2 linked regions of the Stegostoma tigrinum genome follow. The protein of the gene in region 1 purifies or fractionates together with the protein of each later gene. This does not show direct contact. Links are inferred from orthologs where the notes say so. Each region holds a gene or a part of one and is shown in the gene's direction. Other genes may lie near its edges.

What was found.
Region 2: the proteins of nod2 (region 1) and ripk2 purify together in Homo sapiens (affinity purification with western blotting; 12 studies listed by BioGRID and IntAct, with this or other methods). This does not show direct contact. The link is inferred for Stegostoma tigrinum from reciprocal best matches to the Homo sapiens genes NOD2 and RIPK2.

The regions. Positions count from the first base shown.
Region 1 is NC_081369.1:27,095,474-27,106,631, reverse strand, and holds the start of nod2 (nucleotide-binding oligomerization domain-containing protein 2), read left to right. Parts: upstream 1-5,754; 5' UTR 5,755-6,246; intron 6,247-11,158. UniProt on the Homo sapiens protein: Pattern recognition receptor (PRR) that detects bacterial peptidoglycan fragments and other danger signals and plays an important role in gastrointestinal immunity.
Region 2 is NC_081358.1:87,299,312-87,309,921, forward strand, and holds the start of ripk2 (receptor-interacting serine/threonine-protein kinase 2), read left to right. Parts: upstream 1-6,244; 5' UTR 6,245-6,528; coding exon 6,529-6,719; intron 6,720-10,502; coding exon of another isoform or gene 10,503-10,551; intron 10,552-10,610.

The DNA.
Region 1 (11,158 bases):
GCAGAGCTGCCAGGGAGTGGCACTTTTAAAATGCTCTCACAAACAGCTGACATAGATACAATGGTCTGAATAGCCTCCTGACATGCTGTAAATATTTTATGATGTTGTAATATTACATATTGAGAGAGAAAATCCAGAGGCTGTTTATTACATTAGCATATTCAAGTGACATGATAGTCAGTTTGATGAAAGTCCAGCACCACAGGTGATGCTAAAGAAAAAAAAAGTTTTTGAAATGATCTTTTGAGATTTTAATGTTCTCCATTTAAATGCTCAACATCTTCATCCTTTGGAACCCCTTGATGTGAAACACACTGTAGATTCACAGATTTTTAAGATTCATTTACAGTGAATAAATGGTCAATATTTTACACAATAATCAAATCTGTTCTGGAATCAACAAATCCCCATGGTGCAAGTAGAGGCTATTTGGCCCATCAAATCTGCACAGACCCTCCAAACATGACCCCCATGCTCCAACCCTATCCCTGAACTTGCATTTACCACAGCTAACACACCTAGCCTGTAAAACTGTGGATGTGATGGGGCAATTTTGCATGGCCAGTCCTCCTAATACATCTGCATTTTGATGATGGGAAGAAACTGGACAACTGGAGGAAACCCATGCAGAGACAAGGAGAACTTCGCACAGACAGTCACCCAAGGCAGGAATCAAACCTGGATTTTAGAGGGTGTTTAGTGACGGCAGGTGGTTCCACAGTGCGTAGCCATTACTGCCAGAGGGTCCCCACTGTGGGCCAGGAAATTGACCCTCCCCTGGAGCCTACTGCGAGGCTGCTGGCTTTCACTGGATGGTCAACCCAAGTGATGGCAGCTCCTTAGCAGCTAAATTGGTCTCTCACTGAGTAGCCTGTCTGCCAGCTTTCTAGGCAAAATGGCATTGTGGAGAGCAGGTGACAGGCACCCCTCTCCTTACATATTCCAGCATCATCTTCCAGTCATCCTGTGTCCCAACCTGTTGTCAAGATAACATTCTTTGGCTTTAAAATCGTAAAGTAGCTGTTTAGTCTACTATGTTCACACTGTTGGCTTTTTACCGAATGAGTTCAAGTCAGTTTCTAGATCAGCAACAACAGGTAGCAAAGGCAAGGGCAATTGTGAAGAATCTGTGTTACAGGGTGCAGCCCTCTCCAAGTCCTGTTTAGCTGGATTCATATGCTTCAGTCAGCGGATCGCATGGAGACAACTGGTGGTGAGTTTAACCTAAGAGTCATTATGCCTCAGGCAAGGGACAGGGTTGAAAAGGCAGGGTTTTCATGATGGGCTCAGCCAATACAAGAACTGAACCCATTCTGTTGGCATCACTCTGAATTACAAATGAGTCATCCAGCCAATTGAGTGAAACGATCCAAGACATCAATCCACCGAACATACATAAAAAAGACTTTATTTGGACTTTTAAAACTATTTAATTTGTCCTGCCTCTTTGTAACTTCATTGTGTTGGTGAGTGTAAACACTTGAATGCATGGTTTCGATTTTCATCCCCAGGGGAATGGCGCAGAGTTGCATGAAATCCTGGCTACATCAATGTGATGTTGATATATGGTGAAGATAGAGTCAGGCCAGGAGACCCGGTAAGAGCTGAAGAACTTGCCCAGTTCTTGAGATAGGCCAATAAATGAGGCCATTTAGGGGAGGCGATGGCCGAAGTGGTATTATTACTGGACTGTTAATTCAAAGACCCAGATAATGTTCTGGGGACCTGGGTTTGAATCCTACCACAGCAGATAGTGGAATTTGAATTCAATAAGTATCTGGAATTAAGAATCTAATGATGACTGTCGACTGTCAGGAAAAACCCATCTGGTTCACTAATGCCCTTTTGGGAAGGGAGCTGCCACCCTTGCCTGGTCTGGCCTACATGTGACTCCCGACCCACAGCAATGTGGTTGACTCTTAACAATTAGGAATGGGCATAAATGCTGCCTAGCCAGCTGCACCCTCATCCTGTGAATGAATAAAGAAAAAAAGTATCGATAGACGGAAAAAAAAACTAAAGGACCAAACACGCTGCTGGACATGCAGTATACATCCCTAATCAGGGAGAGAAAGAGGATCAAATACGCAATCAAATTTCAGAGAAGTGTATGATTAATATGGCCTTAAGAGTAGGGCATTTCAATTATCCAAATATTAACTAAGGTAATGTGCAAAGTAGAGAGGGAGAATAATTCTTAAATTGCACACAGGAGAACTTTTAAACCAGTACGTTGGAAATTCAACAAGGGAAAGGACTGTTCTGACTTGATATTTAGAAAGGAGCTTGGGCAGACAGAAGTCTTGTCAATGGGGAATATTTTGAAGAGAATGATCATAACTCAGTCAGATTTAAGATAGTTACAAAAAACAAGTTTGAGGAATCAGTTAAAGTTCTAAACCAGAAAACGGTTATTTTGCTGTACTATTTGGTAGCCAAATGCAATGGGAGCAGTTCGTTTTAGATAAAACTGTGTCAGATCGGTGGGAGGCATTCAAGGACGAATTGGTAGCAGTACAGGGCAAATACGTTCCTATAAAGATAAAGCAAAACTTTTCATAATGCCTCTCAATGTCAATCTACAGCAGGTGGACTGTTGTGGTTCAAAAAGGCGGCTCACTATCACCCTCTCAAGGGCAACTAAGGATGGACAATAAATACTGGCCAGCCAGCAACAATCCACATCTCAAAAATGAATAAAAATATTTCAGAGTCAAACATGAAATGATTGTAACATGTTTCAGCCAAATGAATCTCAAAGAATATGAATTCTCTGACTGGGGCTGTTAATCTGGTCCAACCAGGAAGCCTTGCCTGACAGGTACAAACAGAAGTGTGAGACGCTGCTTGGCCTGCTGTGTTCATCCAGCTTCACACTTTATTATCTCGGATTCTCCAGCATCTGCAGTTCCCATTATCACTGTTAGAGGTTCTGTGCACTCTGAGAGTTGACTCTGGGAAGCCAGACCAGTGTCAAGAACTATGCACATGTTAACAACGAGTAACTTGGTGATGGAATACTGGTATCCAAAGCAGCTTATTTAAAATATAAATAAATCTTGAGACTTAATTTACAGTCATTATTAACTAGTACATTCTCCATGACAACACCTCTATCAAATAGAGTCCATTTTGCCAACCAATTAGCATTCTCGTTTTGAATGATGTTTTCTATTTAATCTGGTACATTGTGCAAACTGTCTTGATGAGTGCAAAAAGAAAAGCTTCCACAAAATATGTCTTCTTTCAACAATATGTTTCAGGTAATAAACAAAGTTAAGAACAAAGAACAATACAACACAGCAATAGGCCCTTCGGCCCGCCAAACCTGCACCAACACATTTTCCCTGCCATATAAAACTGTCTTCTCTTACAGGATCCAATATCCCTTTCTCCCTTTCCTTTTCATATATTTGTCCAGGTGACTCTTGAATGCTGCTATTGTGTCTGCTTCCACCAGATCCTCTGGCAGAGCATTTCAGGCATTAATCACTCTTTTTGTGAAAAACTAGCCTTGCACATCTCCTTTAAACTCCCCTTCACCCTATGTCCCAACACTTTGAACCTGGGTCCCCTAGTAATTAACCCCTCCACCCTGGGAAACAGCATCATACCTATCCACCCTATCCATGAAGGTTGGGACCCTTCTTCAGAAAAGTGACATTTGTGTGACTTTTGAATGTTAATGGGATGCTCTCCTGCTTGCTGAACCATACTTGATAAAATAACCAGAATGAGAGGACAATGTTGATAAGGTGAGTGCCAAGCTGCCAAAAATAGTAATCTGAGAATGTTCACATTTGTATCAGTTTTGCTTTATGGTTTTATGAAAGTTTGTTCCTCATGCCAATTACTGAAGGCGTTTACTTAGGGAAATGTTTGTTACCAAGGTCATGCCCAAAGCATTCTGTGGTCACAAAGTGCTCATTGCTCAATCTTGCCTCAGCTTCTCCATATTTCCATCTATCTTCCCACTTTTAGCCGCTCCAACTTTGCTATTCAAAATCTCTTTTGTTTAGTCTGCATCCATCTTAGTCTAAGGTGGGCAGCACAGGAATTTTCTGAGGATATTCCACTGCAAAACAGATATACTGCTTTGAATGCTGTTGGGGGATTGACCTCTCAGGGTAAACCAGCAACAGCCAAATTTATTGCAGCACAGTTGTTTCTGCTGCACAGGAAAGGAGGAGAAAGTGTGGGAATGCAATAATTGTAGGGATTGAATTGTAAGAGGAATAAACATGTGTTTCTGTGGCAGAAAACGAGACTCCAGGATGGTACGTTGCTTCCCTAGTACCAAGATCAAGAATGTCTCAATACAGCTAGAGGACATTCTGGAGGGTGAGGGTAAACATCCAGTGGTCATGGTACAAATTGTGTCAGTGACATAGGTTATGAAAGGGGTGAGGTCTTAAAAGCTGAGCTGGGCCAAAAGACCGCAAAGTGGCAGATGGAGTTTAATTTACATAAATGTGAGGTGTAGCATTTTGGTAAGACTAACAAGGGCAGGACTTATAGAGTTAATGATAAGGCGCTGAGAGTATTGTCAAATAGAGAGGCCAAGGGATTCAGTTACATGGTTCCTTGAAAGTAGTGACACAGTTAGGCCGGGTGGCGAAGAGGGTGAAAGGCACACTAGCTTTCATCGTTCAGAGTAGTGAGTTGGGACATTATGGTAAGGCTGTAAGGATGTTGGTGCTCACTATTGGAGTACTGTGTACAGTTCTGGTCATCCTGCTATAGGAATGATATTATTAAATTGGAGACGGTTTAGAAAGCATTTACCAGGATGTTGCTGGGACCGGAGGCTGGGACCTGGAGATGGATAGGCTGGGACTTTTTCCCTGGACATTCAGAGGTTGAGGGGTGACCATAGAGAAGTTAATCCATTCATGAAGGGCATAGATAAGGTGAATAGCCAAGGTCTTTTTTCCTAGGGTAGGGGAGTTCAGAACCAGAGGGCATAGGTTTAAGGTGAGAGGAGAAAGATTGAAAAGGGACCTGAGGGGCAATTTTTTCACACAGAGGGTAGTCTGTGGAATGATCTGCCAGAGGAAGTGGTAGATGCAGGTACAGTTACAACATCTAAAAGACATTTAGACAGGTACATGGATAAGAAATGTTTAGAGGGATATGGGTCAAATGCAGGCAAACTAGTTTAGTTTGGGAAACCTGGTCGGCATGGATGAGTTAGACCGAAGGGTCTGTTTCCGCGCTGTGTGACTGTATAACTCGGAATCCTGTGAACTGGCCAGCTTGTCTGACCTCTGCAGCCCTCCTTGGGTTACCATACCACAATGCGTTCTGAGTAGAGCAGTTGTTTGGGAGTTTGGCATTAGGTTATGAAGGACATGGACTGTCCAGTCAAGCTGGTTTGGAATAATTAGTACCTCAATTCTGGGCCTGTTGGCTTGGGAGAGCATGCTGCTGTGGAACCACCTATGTTGCCACGGGATTTGAAAGATCCTGCAAAAGCATCTCTGGTGGTTCAATTCTGGTGCTTTGAAATGTCGGGGAGTGCCAGAATAGGAGTATTTCTCCATGCAGTAAAAGCTAAGCTACCATGTCCTATTCATTCATGCTCAGTTTTTCTTGCATGCCTACCTATTGCCAGCTTATATATTACAAAAATACTGTAAATCCTGCAGCTGGATACAAAAATCGAAACTCCTCAGAGCAAGTAATCAGTTCCAAAAATCTGCTTCCCCTGCCGGAAGTGTTGACTTGTCTTTTCTGCACAACGACAGACTGACGCCCTTCGGGTTATCTGATGTCAGCTTCCTCTTTCACAACTAATATAGGCCAGAAACTGGAGAGAGAGAGAGAAAGGGCAGTTTCTGAATTCTGACACGATGTTGACGGTCTTAGAATGATCTTAAGGAATGACTCAGCCTCCCTCTGACCTGAACGCCTTGTGAAACACCACTAGCCTTGCCTATTGAAACGTCGGGATGTTTTAGAACGGGTGGAAGTACCTCTCCGCGCCAGAAGGAAGTGGAGACGGAGATCATTATCTGATGTTGTTAATTGTGTTTCTGGGCCAGCAGCCACTGAGCATTGAGCCTCCCGCACCAGTTCGGAAAGGGTGCAGCTCTCAGACTGCCCCCGGCATCTACACCACAAGGGAAGTTCATTTGTGAGTTTACGAAGCCGCCGTGTGCAACTGGGAACAGCACAGAAAAGTAGAACCTCACATTCCACGAGCCTTGTTGTGGAATTTGAGATGTGATGAGAACATTGCTTAAGGTACCCCTAAGGTTCCACTGTACTCATTTATTACATGCCGTTATGAAAACTTCCTGCGTTGCTATTGACGGGGATGTGAAACTTTCAAAAACGTGCTAGCGATACCATACACAAAGTCAGAAGTACACCTGGAGTTATCTACCTGTAAAATCCTGTCACTGCTCAGCGCTGCTCTGCTCTTTGAAGGAAAGAGCCTTTTTGTAATGTTTTTGATGCTGGGTTCGGATTAGACGAATAAAACCGAAACTACTCTTTGCTGGGTAGCTCAGCGTGATGGCCCTCCGGAGGATTTAACATACGCAGAAAAAAATGTTTATTATGTTTATTTAGGGTTGTTTCGAAATAGCATTTTTAATATCAAAAATATACTTTATTGATTAAAAAATCTTTATATACATACATAGTGAAGCTGTTCGCTTCTGTGCAGTGGCATATCGAGAAACAAGCGGACAGTGATTTGTTTGATTCTATCCAGCAAACAAACCAAAGGCATTTCTTGCCTATACCAGATTATATTTACATACAGCAATTTCCAGCTTCATGGCAGCTCAATCTGTCTAGAACTCTGAAGATGAGGTTGTAGGTGAAAGTAAACTGAGCCTCACCCTGTTTAATTTGAGGGGTGAAAGTATGCCATCTTTAATCGAAACTAAATCGAGTTTGCATGCGTTCATTTTGTAAACTGGGGCAAAGAATCTAGCTGGTAGGGAGCGAATGACTATCTTTTTATTAAAGAAAGACATACGCGATGCATTTATGACCCACCCCTTATTGCCGTTGAGAGCAGTGTACAGGCACCTTGAACGGTTGTAGCCAGCCCGCGATGCTGTTGGAAAAGACATTCCAATGTATTGATTCAGTGACTGAAGCAGTGGTCGCTCCAAATCAAAATGTTGCGTGGCTTGGGAGCAAAATGCAATCATTGTGTATGTAGTGTAGTATGGAAACATTGGGCTTAGGAACCAAATGTTCTGCTACTGTTCCTAAGTGAGTTTTGAGAAGTTGATGATGTTACCTAGAATGGTGACGAAACGTCTGAAAACGAACGTTCCAGCTCAGCGAGCAAACTCACATCCAGAACTGTTTCTAAGTCCAATACTACACTGTATACACTATACTATACTACAGTAAAATGCTTTGGGATGTGCCGTATTTGTGAAAGGTTTGTATAAATGTGAGGTTTTTTTTGAATTGGGCATCTCATTAGTTGTTTAGGTATAATACAGCTGGAGCTGCAGGAGCACAGCAGGCCAGGCAGCATCAGAGGAATAGCAAAGCAGACATGGGACCCTTCAGAAATAGGGAGAGGTCAGGGAGCTCAGAAATAAGTAGAGGGGTGGGGCTGGGGAATGTAGGTGGCATGGTGATAGGTGAGTGCAGGTAGGCAATGGTGGGGATTGGTCAGTGAGGTAGAAGGGGTGGATAGGTGGGAGAGAAGATGGACAGGTTGTGTCAGGTCAAGGAGGTAGGGGTGAGAAGGACGGTTAGTCATGGGATGAGGAGATTTTGAAACTGGTAAAGTCCACATTGAGACCATTGGGCTGTAGGCTCCCAAGGTGGAATATGAGGTGCTGCTTTTCTAGTTTCCGCGTGGCGTCATTGTGACACGGGAGGACGCCCAGGATGGACATGACACACAGGGAATGGAAGAGGGAGTTGAAGTGGTTCGCGACTGAAAAGTGTTGTCATTTGTTGCGAACAGAGCGCTGGTGCTCTACAAAGCAGTCTCCGAGCCTCTGCTTGGTCTCACCGATGTAGAGGAGGCCACATTGGGTGCAGCAGATGCAATAGACCACATTGACAGATGTGTGTGTGAACCTCTGTCTGATGTGAAAGGTTTGTTTGATTGACCTTGATGTTGACCTGCTCCTCCCACCTCACTGACCAATCCCCACCACTCCCAACCTGCACTCACCTATCACCGTCCCACCTACCTTCCCCAGCCCCACCCCTCCTCTCTCTATTTATTTCTGAGATCCCTTTCCCATCCCCCATGTCTGAAGGAGGGCCCCAACCCAAAACATCAACTATCCTGCTCTTTGGATGCTTCCTGGCCTGCTGTGTTCCTTCAGCTCCACACTGTTATCTCTGACTCCAGTATTGGCAGTTCTTACTATCTCTGAGTTGTTTAGGTATATCTCGTTTTGGATTTTATCCGCATCCCATGAAATTAAATGCTTTCAGTTAACCTTTTTAATATATAACTGTGCTCCAATGCTTGGTCATCTCACTGATCCAATTTTGACCAGCATTAAAGAAGAAGAATAGGGAACAATAGATGAATGAAGATTGTGAAGCTCTGGTCAAGAATAAGGTATAGACCATTGGATTAAGTGAATCTCTTGAAGAGCATAAGGGATAGATTCACTGCCACCAATTGTTCTCATTTACTAATATCAATGGAGAAGGATACCCACACACAGTCTTTGACAGAAGGGAAGCAGTACCCGACCTCAGTAATGGATACTGCTGGGACTGGAGGCAGATGAATGAGGAAGACAGCCATGGACTCTGGAGTGAGGTAAATCAGTATGGGTTGGGATATTCAACAAACCAAGTGCCTACAGGCTTTCATGGACTATGAAAAACTATCTGACAGCATATACAGAGAGGTTGTTAACCCCAGGCCAGGAAATCTCAGACAGCTGTTAAGTTTCAGGCTAAGGGCGCGACCATTTAAGACTGAATGGAAAGAATTTCTTTATTGATAAGGTGGCATTTCTTTGGAATTTGCTACTAGGGATGATGTGAAGGCATCATCTTTGATTATATTTAAGACTGAGATGACGACAGTGTTTGGTTTTTCAGGGAACAGTGAGTAGAAGGGAAGTCTAATTGCAGCCCAAGACCTACTGTTGCAGAGGAGGCTTGATGGACTGTATTGCCTTCTCTTGTTCCTAATTCTTATGGTCTTAACTAACAAGAAATTATGCTGACACTGGCTGTCATGGGAAAATTACAATTATCTGGAAGCAGGAAACCTCACTATCTTTATTCAAAAACGATTTGAGATATGGAAATAACATCAGGGTGTGCACATGCCTACTTGTGTGGTGACAGTGAGTAACCTAGAAGATAATTGTTAGTATAGAATCAGTGCAGCATGTGCAGCAAGACGCCACTCAGTCCATTAAGTCTACATCGACCCTCTGAAGAGCACCCCACTATCCATGCACTGCCATGCCAATTCTCCTCATGCCTGTTTGGTTTCCTCTGGGTGCTCCAGTTTCTTCCCACAATTCAAAGATGTGCAGATTAGGTGAATTGGCCATGCTAAAATTCCTGTAGTGTCTAGGGATGTGCAGACTAGATGAATTAGCTAAGGTATTTGCAGGGTCACAGGGATATGGTGGTGGAGAGGGGTGGTGTGTGTAGGATGCTCCTTGGATGGTTGGTGAAACTTGATGGGCTCGCTATGGTTTTCTCTTCATTTGTTTACCAGGTGAAAAGGCTGGGCAGCACGGTGGTTTAATGGTTAGTACTGCTGCCTTGCAGTGCCAGGGAACCAGGTTTGATTCCATCCTCTGGTGACTGTCTGTATGGAGTTTGCACATTCTGTGTTTGGGTGGGTTTCTGCCTGATGCTCCGGTTTCCTCCCACTGTCCAAAAATGTGCAGGCTAGGTGGATTGGCCATGCTAAATTGCCCATAGTGTAGATTAGGTGTGTTAGCTATGGGAGATGCAGGATTACAAGGAAAGGGTAGGGGGATGGGTCTGGGTGGCATGCACTTTGGAGGGTTGGTGTGGACTTGTTAGCCTAAATAGTTCACCCTTCTTGTTTTCTTTGTAATAATAAGATTTTTATGGTTTTGCACATTTTTGCATTTCACTGAGTAAATTTAGTGGAAAGTTGATTTAATTAAGTAAAAGCTTATTGCAGTTGAAGACTTTAGTATTTTTGAAATTATGAAATTATGTGGTCACAATAACACGCAGATCTTTAGGGAGCATTTCATCACTTACTTCCCACTTTGTTGCTTGCATTCATATCCTCCCTCTTACTGAAAAGTGTACTTTGCAAATGAAAGGACTATTTTCCATTTAGTAATATGAGCACTGAGTTAAGGCATACATTTGTTTGAATTTTTATTGTGAAATAGCATAGAGTGTTAGAGTCATACAGCACACAGCAGGCCAAGCAGCGTCAGAGGAGCAGGAAAGTTTGACATTTCGGAAGAAGGGTCCCAACCCGAAACGTCGAGCTTTCTTGCTCCTCTGATGCTGCTTGGCCTGCTGTGTTCATACAGCTTCACACCGTTTTGACTCAGCTTGATTTTGTGTTAATTCTCTAAATGTCCTGGTACCACTTCATTTATAATGGATTCCAGCACTTACACTGAAACAAGTATTATATTAATTGGTGTGCAATTTGTTGCACCTGTCTCCTTCCTTTCTTAAATACAGGTGTTACATTTGCAATTTTTCAGTTCTTTGGGACCATTCCAGAACCTGTAGAATTGTGGAATGTTACAACCAATCCATTCACCGTCTCCGCACCTACTTCCTTAAAAGTCCTCTGGTCCAGGGAACCTATTAGCCTTTAGTTATATTCATTTTCCAAGTGCTTTGTCTGAAGTGATTGTGATTGTTATAACTTTCTCCGTCCCCTTTGTCTGCTCCTTGTGCCTTCTACTATAGAGAAGCATACAAAATAATTATTCAACATCTCTACCATTTCCTTGTTTACCAGTATTAATTTCTAAATCTCATCCTCTCAGGGACTAAAATATACTTGTGATTATTCTCTTTTATCTACATGCATAGAAGCTTTTATTGTTTGATTTTATATTCTTGCCATTTTACTCTCCTATTTGAACTTCTCATCTTTTAAATTCTTGACCATTGCTGGTTTCTAGAATTTTTCTAATCTTCTGTTGTCTTGCTAATCTTTGTAGTATTTACACCTTTTCTT
Region 2 (10,610 bases), on another chromosome or scaffold:
TCATATTTCAATATAACATGTTGGAGGTTTGCCAACTTGTCTTAAATATCCCACCTCCAAACATGCCTTGAGAAAGACCAGAAAATTCTATTCTATGTAAGGTGTAACAAACTTAATCATCTGGTTACATTATCCCTTTACTCTTCCTGCAATTACTTATTTAAACGATTCTCGGTCTCCACTTGAATCATTAATTCCAGTTAAGCATTCCACAGCTTCTCAACTTTCTATGCAAAAGGGTGACTTCACGTTAAATCATTCCATCTCCTCAACATCCTTTCCTAACTCTGGAACCCAAGATTACAGTGAGTCAACAAACGTCCCATCAAAATCATAAATAAATTCACCATTACGTCTCTACGTATTTTAAGTGTACCATTTCACATGCTGACATGTTTTCCTGCTAATTCAGCTACCTTATCCATACGTCTTTGTAGCTTTCTTTGATCCTCACAATGACTTCCAAGTTAGTCTACACATCCTACATCAGCAAAATAAAGGAATGAAAGTTAAAAATGACTTGAAGAATAAGAGAAAAAATGTTTGTGTGAGGAAATAAAATTAGATTTTCTTCCTACGTGTATATGGACTGAATGAGATAGGTATTAAAGCTGAAAATCAAACTAAAATTGGTTTCATAGAAGTTATTTATTTACAGCTTTTTTTTATATATTCAAGAGATTTCAACCAACAGTTCTCATAATTACCTTCCCTCAAACAATTATTTTATTTAAACACCAGGTTAAACACAAATATGAAACAAAATATTTACATTCATACAAAATTATTAAATTCCAAAAGATTACTTGGCAAAAAAATATTTTTATAATGAATTTTCTTTCATTTGCCATACTTTGTTCCCCTTTAGTTTAATAGTTTACAACTTTTATAATATAATTTTTACTATGTTATGTATTGCATTCTGTCATAATCATATGTTTTAGAGGTATAGCTTTTTAGTATTAGAAATTAAATTTTAAATGTAAATTTCACAGAGAAAACCCTGCTAAGTATCTAGAGGCTAGAAGGTCACAAAAGATTAATAGAATTACAATTCAAAAGATAATTTATGTTTACTGGATACAATCACAGTTAAAGCAGTGAAAGTAATAACAAAATGGGTAAGCTAATGTAGCGAAAATACTGGAGGCTTGCTATCTCCAATTATTCTATTGAATATATGCTATTTCCCAAAATTGAGGAAATCTTTGGAATTGAAAAGGTATTTACCATATCCACCCAGAACAAGGCTGTCTGTGTTTCAGAAGTAGGTGGAGCTTAGTGAGTTTCTTTGCTGTGAGTTATCTTAGGACTTAACCAGCAGGAAAGATGGGTTCACAAAATCAGTTCAGAGACTGCGTCAGCTTCAGCTTTTACATAGCTGCCTGGAATGTGAAAGCTAAAAGCAGACCTAAATCTGAAGTAAATGTTATGCCAAGGGTAAATCCTTCAAGCCAGCGTTTGCGTAAGCACACAGTTCTTTAGAGACAAAGATCCTTCATAAGCACGGTGTTACTTTGTGAAAACGCTCTTTGTAAGAGGTGTAGCCAGTCCAGACCAACTACCTGCCCAAGCAAGGTAGCCACATTGGCCGATGCCAACAAACTTGATCAGTGCATACAAGTGGGCTACATTCTGAGGGACACATTAAAGCCTGAGACAGCTGGCACCAAGGTAAAGTGGGGAAACACCACTGCTGAAGTTAGGAGTTTGTTCAGTTACAGGACCTTCCTAGTGTCTCAATGCATGTAAATATAATCCTGTATGTGTAAGAGATGCCTTTGGTTTATTGGGATAGAGTCAAACTCTCATCCCTGCCTCCTTGACCAAACACAACCTGTTTATCTCCTCTCCCACCAATCCACCCCACCCATCCCACAGACCAATCCCTACTACTCCTACCTGCACTCACCTATCATTATCCCGCCTACCTTCCCCAGCCCCATCCCTGTTCTCTCTATTTACTTCCCAGCTCCCTTCCCCCTCCCTGTTTCTGAAGAAGGGTCTGACCTGAAACGTCAACTCTCCTACTCTTCTGATGCTGCCTGGCCTGACGTGTTCCTCTAGCTCCACAGTGTTATCTCTGACTCCACCATCTGCAGTTCTTGCTGTCTCAAATGTTTGCAGGAACAAAAACAAAGTTGCTGGAAAAACTCAGCAGGTCTGGCAGCATCTGTGAAGGACAAATCTGAGTTAACGTCTCGGATCTCGTGACCCTTCCTCAGACCCTTCCTTGGATTACCGGACTCGAAACGATAACTCTGTTTTCTCTTCCACAGATGTTGCCAGACTTGCTGAGCTTTTCCAGCAACTTTGTTTTTGTTCCTGCTTTACAGCATCCACAGTTCGTTCAGTTTCAAATGTTGGCATGTTGACTTGATATGTTGCTGTCCAGAACTAAACTGCATTTATGACAATGTATACGTACAAAGAGATTTTTTGTGAATAAAGTATATTTTTGAAATTAAAAAAAATGCAAATGGGAGAGAAATCAAAAGGGTCCTGCACTCAAAAAGGGGTAGAACAAGTTCAAATAGAAGTGGATTAGATAGTATGGAGTATAGAATGAAACTTAAAGGGTGTCATTGTTTCGGGGCACTGGAATAGTCCTGTGGAATAGAGGAAGGAAAGTGGAATGCAGAGAAGGGATACAAGAAGGATGGGGGACAAGAAAGAGTGGGAGCAGTATAATTAAAGTGGGGAAGACAAGTGTGATTGGGTCCCCCATATCCTCACTTTTCATCCCAACATCCTCTGCATTCAAAGGATCATTCTCCATAATTTCAGACAATCCCAGAAAAATGCCACCACCAAACATATCTATCCCTCACTCCCGCTGTCTGCATTTCAGAGGGATCGTTCCCTTTAGAAAACCCGAGTCCATTCATTGACCACTGACACGATATCCCCTTCCCACGGCACCTTCCCCTGCAACCGCAGAAGGTGCAACACCTACCCTTTCACCTCCTCCCTGCTCACCATCCAAGGGCCGAAACAGTCTTTCCAGGTGAAGCAGCATTTCACCTGTACATCCTCCAATCTTGCCTATGCTACATTGGAGAAACCAAATACCCAGTGTGACTGCTTTGCCGGACACCTCAGATCTGAGTGCAAACATTATCTTAACCTTCCCATAGCTGGTTATTTTAACACAGCGTCCTACTCACATGCACACTTATCTGCAATATTCCAGTGAATCGCAGCGCAAACTGGAGGAACAACATCTTATCTTCAGACCACGCACTTTATAGGTTCCTGGACTTAAGATTGAGTTCAACACCCTCAAATTGTGAACCAACACCCATTCCTTCCCTTTCTTTTAGTTTACTTGTTACATTCTCTTGTCACCATGTCTTCTCTTCCCTCCCTCCACCTGGAGTTTCTGGGAGTTATCAGCTTGGTTTCAGTTTTAAACCATAGCAATAGGCTTTGGAAACCAAGAGCACAGTCTGATGCTTAAATCCAGTACCCCTAGGAGGCAGATGAAGACATGCGCAGAGCTGTGGAATCCAGAGCTGTGAAATGAAAAAAATTGGATAGCAGTTTAGCCAAAAGGACCCTTTGAAATGTTGTATCTCATCAAATAGCTGGAACACTGAAGTCAGAGTCACTGCTGGAAAGCGGTGAAATACATTTTTTCTGTTAATTCCAGGAATAAGGAATGAGCTTTAAAGGTAAATTGGGAGCAATTAGAATGTTCAGTAGCAATGAGTCTGGAGCACGAGTCTTTGTATGCTATCATCTTGTTAGTTATGATTGCTTTAACACTTCTTGATATACAGTAAATAATTGCTATTGTTTAAAAGCTGAAGGTTGTGGGAAGCGAGGGCAGTGATTGCTGGGTCCCTTGCTGAGAAACTTGTATCATTGATAGCCACAGCTGAGGTACCAGAAGACTGGAGGTTGACTAAAATTGTGCCATTATTAAAGAAAGGAGGTAAGGATAAGCCAGGGAATTGGTGAGCCTGATACCAGTGGTGGGCAGGTTCTCAGAGAGGATTCTTAGGGACAGGATTTACACCTATTTGGAAAGGTAAGGGCTGATTATGGATAGTCAACATGGTTTTGTGCGTGGGAACCATGACTCACTAACTCGATTATAGTTTTTTGAGAAAGAAAACGTGACTGAGGATTGATGAAGGCAGAGGAGTGCACGTTGTCTAAATGGAGTTCAGTAAGGCATTTAACAAGTTTAGATCACACGATAAAAACAGAAAGAACTGCCAATGCTGTAAATCAGCAACAAAAACAGAAGTTGCTGGAAAAGTTCAGCAGGTCTGGCAGCATTTGTGAACGGAAATCAGAATTAACGTTCCGGGTCGAGTGACCCATCCTAGAAAAATATTAATTGGCTTTAAAAAGCTGTACAACACCCGACAGCAATGCAAAATGGGATACAAATGTATTTTGGAGATAATAGGAACTGCAGACGCTGGAGAATCTGAGGTAACAAGGGGTAGAGCTGGATGTTTCTTTACAAGTGCTGCTGTCAGTGCAGTTTTTTTCCTTCGTTCACCTTCCTGGACCTCTCAGTCTCCATCTCAGGCAACCAGCTTGTAACTGATGTCCATTTCAAGCCCACCGACTCCCACAGCTACCTAGAATACATTTCCTCCCACCCACCCTCCTGCAAAAATTCCATCCCCTATTCCCAATTCCTCCGCCTCCGCCGCATCTGTTCCCACGACAAGACATTCCACTCCCGCACATCCCAGATGTCCAAGTTCTTCAAGGACCGCAACTTTCCACCCACAGTGGTTGAGAACACCCTTGACCGCGTCTCCCGCATTTCCCACAACACATCCCTCACCACCCGCCCCCGCCACAACCGCCCAAAGAGGATCCCCCTTGTTCTCACACACCACCCCACCAACCTCCGGATACAATGCATCATCCTCCGACACTTCCGCCATCTACAATCCGACCCCACCACCCAAGACATTTTTCCATCCCCACCCTTGTTTGCTTTCCGGAGAGACCACTCTCTCCGTGGCTCCCTTGTTCGCTCCACACTGCCCTCCAATCCCACCAACACCTGGCACCTTCCCCTGCAACCGCAGGAAGTGCTACACTTGCCCCCACACCTCCCCCCTCACCCCTATCCCAGGCCCCAAGATGACTTTCCATATTAAGCAGAAGTTCACCTGCACATCTGCCAATGTGGTATACTGTATCCATTGTACCCGGTGTGGCTTCCTCTACATTGGGGAAACCAAGCGGAGGCTTGGGGACCGCCTTGGAGAACACCTCCGCTCGGTTCGCAGTAAACAACTGCACCTCCCAGTCACGAACCATTTCAACTCCCCCTCCCATTCTTTAGATGACATGTCCATCATGGGCCTCCTGCAGTGCCACAATGATGCCACCCCAAGGTTGCAGGAACAGCAACTCATATTCCGCTTGGGAACCCTGCAGCCCAATGGTATCAATGTGGACTTTACCAGCTTCAAAATCTCCCCTTCCCCCACCGCATCCCAAAACCAGCCCAGTTCATCCCCTCCCCCCACCGCATCCCAAAACCAGTCCAACCTGTCTCTGCCTCCCTAACGTGTTCTTCCTCTCACCCATCCCTTCCTCCCACCCCAAGCCGCACCTCCATTTCCTACCTACTAACCTCATCCCACCTCCTTGACCTGTCCGTCTTCCCTGGACTGACCTATCCCCTCCCTACCTCCCCACCTATACTCTCCTCTCCACCTATCTTCTTTTCTCTCCATCTTCGGTCCGCCTCCCCCTCTCTCCCTATTTATTTCAGAACCCTCACCCCATCCCCCTCTCCGATGAAGGGTCTAGGCCCGAAACGTCAGCTTTTGTGCTCCTGAGATGCTGCTTGGCCTGCTGTATTCATCCAGCCTCACATTTTATTATCTCGGATTCTCCAGCATCTGCAGTTCCCATTATCTCTTCCTTCGTTAAGATTGGTTTCTCGTGGAACTAGGATAGTAATTACAAACGCAACCGATAATCGCTTTCAGTGAAATTGCACCGCGCATCTACGTCCTGTAGCCGGTATCCATCACTTATTCTTTGCGTAACTTTCTCAGATATATCTAGAGCAGAACAAGTTTTTCCATGACTGTCGGAACCTCAAGTTGCACAATTAGCATGAACACTGCGTAAACGTCTTTACTCGGTGGATTCTTTCAGAAATAAAGAGTTGAAGCGGCACTGACGATAGCCTATGTGTTTCCCGTAAAAGGCGTGGTTTCCAGCCGAGTTTAGGCTGCGCAGTGACTGATCATGAAGGGCGGAAGAGTCGTAAATTTGGGGAATTCCTGTGAGGAAGTGACAGACGGAACAGCTTTCTCTCTCTCTCTCTCTCTCTGCCGTGGTGTTTACACACCTTTTCGCTCCAGCACTGTGTGCGCGAGGTTGAGCTATGCGGGAGGGGGCGTTCTCCTGTGAAAATGTTTAGTTTCTTTTGGCGCTGACGCTGTTCTCCAGCAATGGGCAAACATCTGAGACTGCATTGAGACAGAGCTAGGGAGAAATAGAGAGCAATAAACAGCGCTGAGCGATTCAGCAGTTATGGAGTCTTCCAGGGGGAGCAGTTTCTCGAGTATTTCGTCCATCCTGGACGTGGTTCCCTATCAGAAGTTGGTGGATCTGCATTATATCAGCAAGGGAAGCTATGGCGTGGTGTTCAGAGCCCAGCACAGCGACTGGAGGATGACTGTGGCAGTCAAGTGTCTACAGTTCGACTCTCCAATGGATGAAGGGTATGCTATTGATGGTACTTGAGAGCATGGAGGAGAGTTATAATTACACGAGTTTGAAAATAGTTTGTATAATATCTTTACCAACACGTATTAACAAGGAAGCAGAGAAGTGTTGTGATGCACCTTTGTCCGAAGAACATAAAGTAGGGCTTGCATTACTGAAGGGGGCACAGGAGCTGAGAAATTTGCATTTCTATGTGCATTGGAGAAGGTAGGGCAGGTGGAGAGAGCAGTGAATAATAGGCTGTCTGCTGTGGGGTTGACGATTCACAACAACCAAACCTCATGCTGTACTGGTGCCTTGCCCTTCCTGCCTCTTCAGAGATAAGATTGACTATCTCAAGGTACCCTCTCCCTCGTCAGCCCTGGACCAGGAGAGGGCTTTGACAGGATATTGCATACGAATGTGTGGGATGTGCTGTCCAAATTGGACTTTGGGGAGGGAATCCACACTTGGATTGGACTGCTGTACATCAACATAAGTAAAACAGTCTCAATCGATGGGTTGAAGTCAGAAAGCTTCCTGATCAGATTGGAAGTCAGGCAGGGCTGCCCATTGTCTCCTGCCTTGTTTGTCTGTTGTATAGAGCCTTTTGCTAAATCCATCAGGAAGGATGTCAGCCTGGGAGTAGGGGGTACAAACATGATCATTTTCTATTCAGATCAGCTGTCAGCATGTAGACTTGTGAGCATCAGTGACCAGTTCGAACTAGCCTTGGGAGCCAAGGTAAATCGAGGCAAGAGTGAGGTTGTTTTCTTTCGAAACTTTATCCCCTTTGCCTTCATTTCAGGTTACCTGAAGGTGGTGGGAATGTGTTTGGAGGAGCTGGGGTGTGTGCAAAAACTTGAGAGGAGTGTAGCACCAAGGTGATGCAGAAACTAGGCAGATGTGAGCACCACTCCATATCCGTTACAGGTAAAATCTTGGGAATCAGGTGGGAGGCACTCATGGTGTTGTAGCATTTGGTGCAGATCTGGCCCATTTGCAGAACCTGCACCTCAGTGGGCACCCGAGCCATCTTCTATTTTTTTGGAGCTGAAAGTTGGATTGTGTCCACAGGGACACAATGTATAAACCTCTCTAAGGGGCACGAAATGGATGTACCCAACACTGCCCTCATCCTGATGACCACCTTTTGTGTGCAGCTGCATCAGGCCGTGCGTAGACCCTCGGTACGCAAACACCACATGTCGTTGTGTGCTGATGTTCGACCTGTGCCCAGTGTTACAAAGGCTGGGCCTGGCCTTGTTGCCATGGAATGTTCCACAGCGTCTGCGTTTCATGGCGAAAAACTTACAAAGAAAAACACCAATGACTACAAGCCCGTCAGAAAATGGTCAGCATTTAGCATCCTCGAGACTCAGCAGGAAAAGGAGGTGATCCTGTCGCATAGTTCCCTGAGTCGACTGTCAAAGTCATTTGACAGAATGCCTCATCGCCAGAACTTTCCAACAAGCCCCAATGTGGGAAGAAAGGCACTACCTGTGAGATTTTTTATGTGGGCTCTGACTCAGTGCCACTGCACACCACCCTGAGGGGTGGTTAAAGAGATGGAACAACATAGTCACTCCTATTCCTCTGGAGTGTACCCGTGCAAAGAAGATCTGGAGACAGATACAGTGATTTTTGTCAAGGTTCATCCCGAGCAGTTCCATGACACACAACTCTGTGTTCGTAGGTTATAGAATCCCTACAGTGTGGAAACAGGCCCTTCGGCCCAACGAGTCCACACCACCTCTCAGAGCATCCCAACCAGATCCATCCCTCATAATCCACCTAATCTATACATCCCTGAACACTACGGGCAATTTAGCATGGCCAAACCACCTAGACTGTACACCTTTGGAAGGAAACCAGAGCACCCGGGGGAGACCCGCACGTGGAGAATGTGCAAACTCCACACAGTCACCTGAGGGTGGAATCGAACCTGAGTTCCTAGCTGTGAGGCAGCAGTGCTAACCGCTGAGCCACTGTGGGTTCTGTGAGTTATTCTCCAGAACGCGCACTGAGACAAACGTCAAGTGTGCGTGGAGGAGCATCAACTCAGTGAAAGATGCTCTTTGGTCTTCCCAAAACTAGTTGATCTTCTAGTGTAAAGATTGGCTTGACAGAATGTTGCAGACCAGTGTGTGCCAAGCCCCAGATCTACGTGCTGAGGGACACACTCAAGTTTGGGCCAGCTTCTTCCAAGGCAGTGGGGAATCTCTACTGTCTGACATCTTTCTGCCAAATTATAATGATGGTCCATTCAGTGCCATAATAACCCTTTGTCAAAATTAGGTAAATAGTTTCCTATGTGTTTAGAAAAGGCTTTTGTTTTGCGACTGCAGGGAAGCTCTGAGGAATGTTAATTTCCAATGTAATGTTTGTTCCTTTTTCTTTGCAAAGACTGTATGGAACTGTTTTAGGACCCTTTGTACATACTTCTAGATTTTTTTTTAAGAATAAAGTATGGTATATTTAATAAAAGAAAATAGGGTAGAAGGCACATAGTGTACAAGAGCAGAGAGGTGATGTTGAACTTGTACAAGACACTTGTTAGATCTCAGCTGCAGTATTGTGAATAGTTGTGGGTGCCACATAATAGGAAAGATGTTTATGCATTAGAGAGTGTGTAGGGGCTATGTGATTAGAATGGTTTCAGGAATAAGAAATTTCAGCTATGGGGATAGATTGAAGATGCTGGTACTGTTGTTCTGGAGAGAAGCAAAATCATTGGCAAACTGGATAGAGTAGAAACAGTGAAGCTGTTTTATAAGAGAAACAAGAATGAGAGGAATGGTTTCAAGTGATGTGAAAGCGATGTGAGGAAAAGACATTTTCATACAGTGAATAGTTACGGTATGGAATGCATTGTTTGGAAGCATGGAGGAGGCAGGTACAATTGGGGAATTCATGAGGGTATTAGATGGATCTTTTGGGCCATAATTTTGTGCAGGGATATGGGGAGGAGATAGGAGATTGCAACTGGCAAGTTGGCAACAGCATAAGTCGCTCCATTTGGAGCTCCACTCTACTCGCCAGTTCTCTTTCCTTTTCCTTTCTTTTTCTCTTCTCTCTCCTCTCTGCTATAATTCTAGCCCCTGAGACTCTGCACTTTAAACCACCAACCTGAGGAGTCGGATCGCAACTGGGAATGCTCAGGTCATGTCCTGCAGCGATGGCTGGCCAAGAATGGGCTGGTTTGGCGGTGAAGTTGTAGGCGGCGGTGAGAGTGGGGCTGGTGAGAGGAAAGCAGTCGGGGTGCCCTAGCGATTGGACCGGTGCCTGCATCATTGTGGAGATGGGACTCTGAGATCTGGACTTCTTCACTTACTTACCTTTTTATTTTTGTTAAAATCTTTTAATTCTGGTTTCTGTAACCAAATGGGTGCTGGTGAATGGCATCTTTGTACACTTTTTGCTGTAATTATGTATTCCTACATTTAGGGCATGTGACAAACGAATAAATAAAACTGAATGTTGGTAGTAGAGTTGGTACAGGCTGACCTACCTCCTTCTGCAATAGGATTCTGTGAATTGTTTGAAATATGATGTGAATTTATGCGAACGTTGATTTTTTTTTTAACGTGTGTTTTGTGATGCATGAGACATTGTGGAATGAGTAGTTGGTCAAGCATTGAAAGCATACAATTTGTAAGATGCCACATCGATTCCATGTGAAATCGCCACCGATTATTATTTATGCTTTCACAGGATGTGTATGTCACTGGCTAGGCCAATATGTGTCACTCATTCATTCTTAATTGTCATTAAACTGAATGAGTGTTTGACTATTTCAGAGGTCAGTAAGATTGCTGAGGATCTGGATTCAAATATAAGAATGACCAGGTGAGAATAGTTGATTTCCTTGCCTCATGAAAATTTACGAACCAATTGGATTTTAAAAC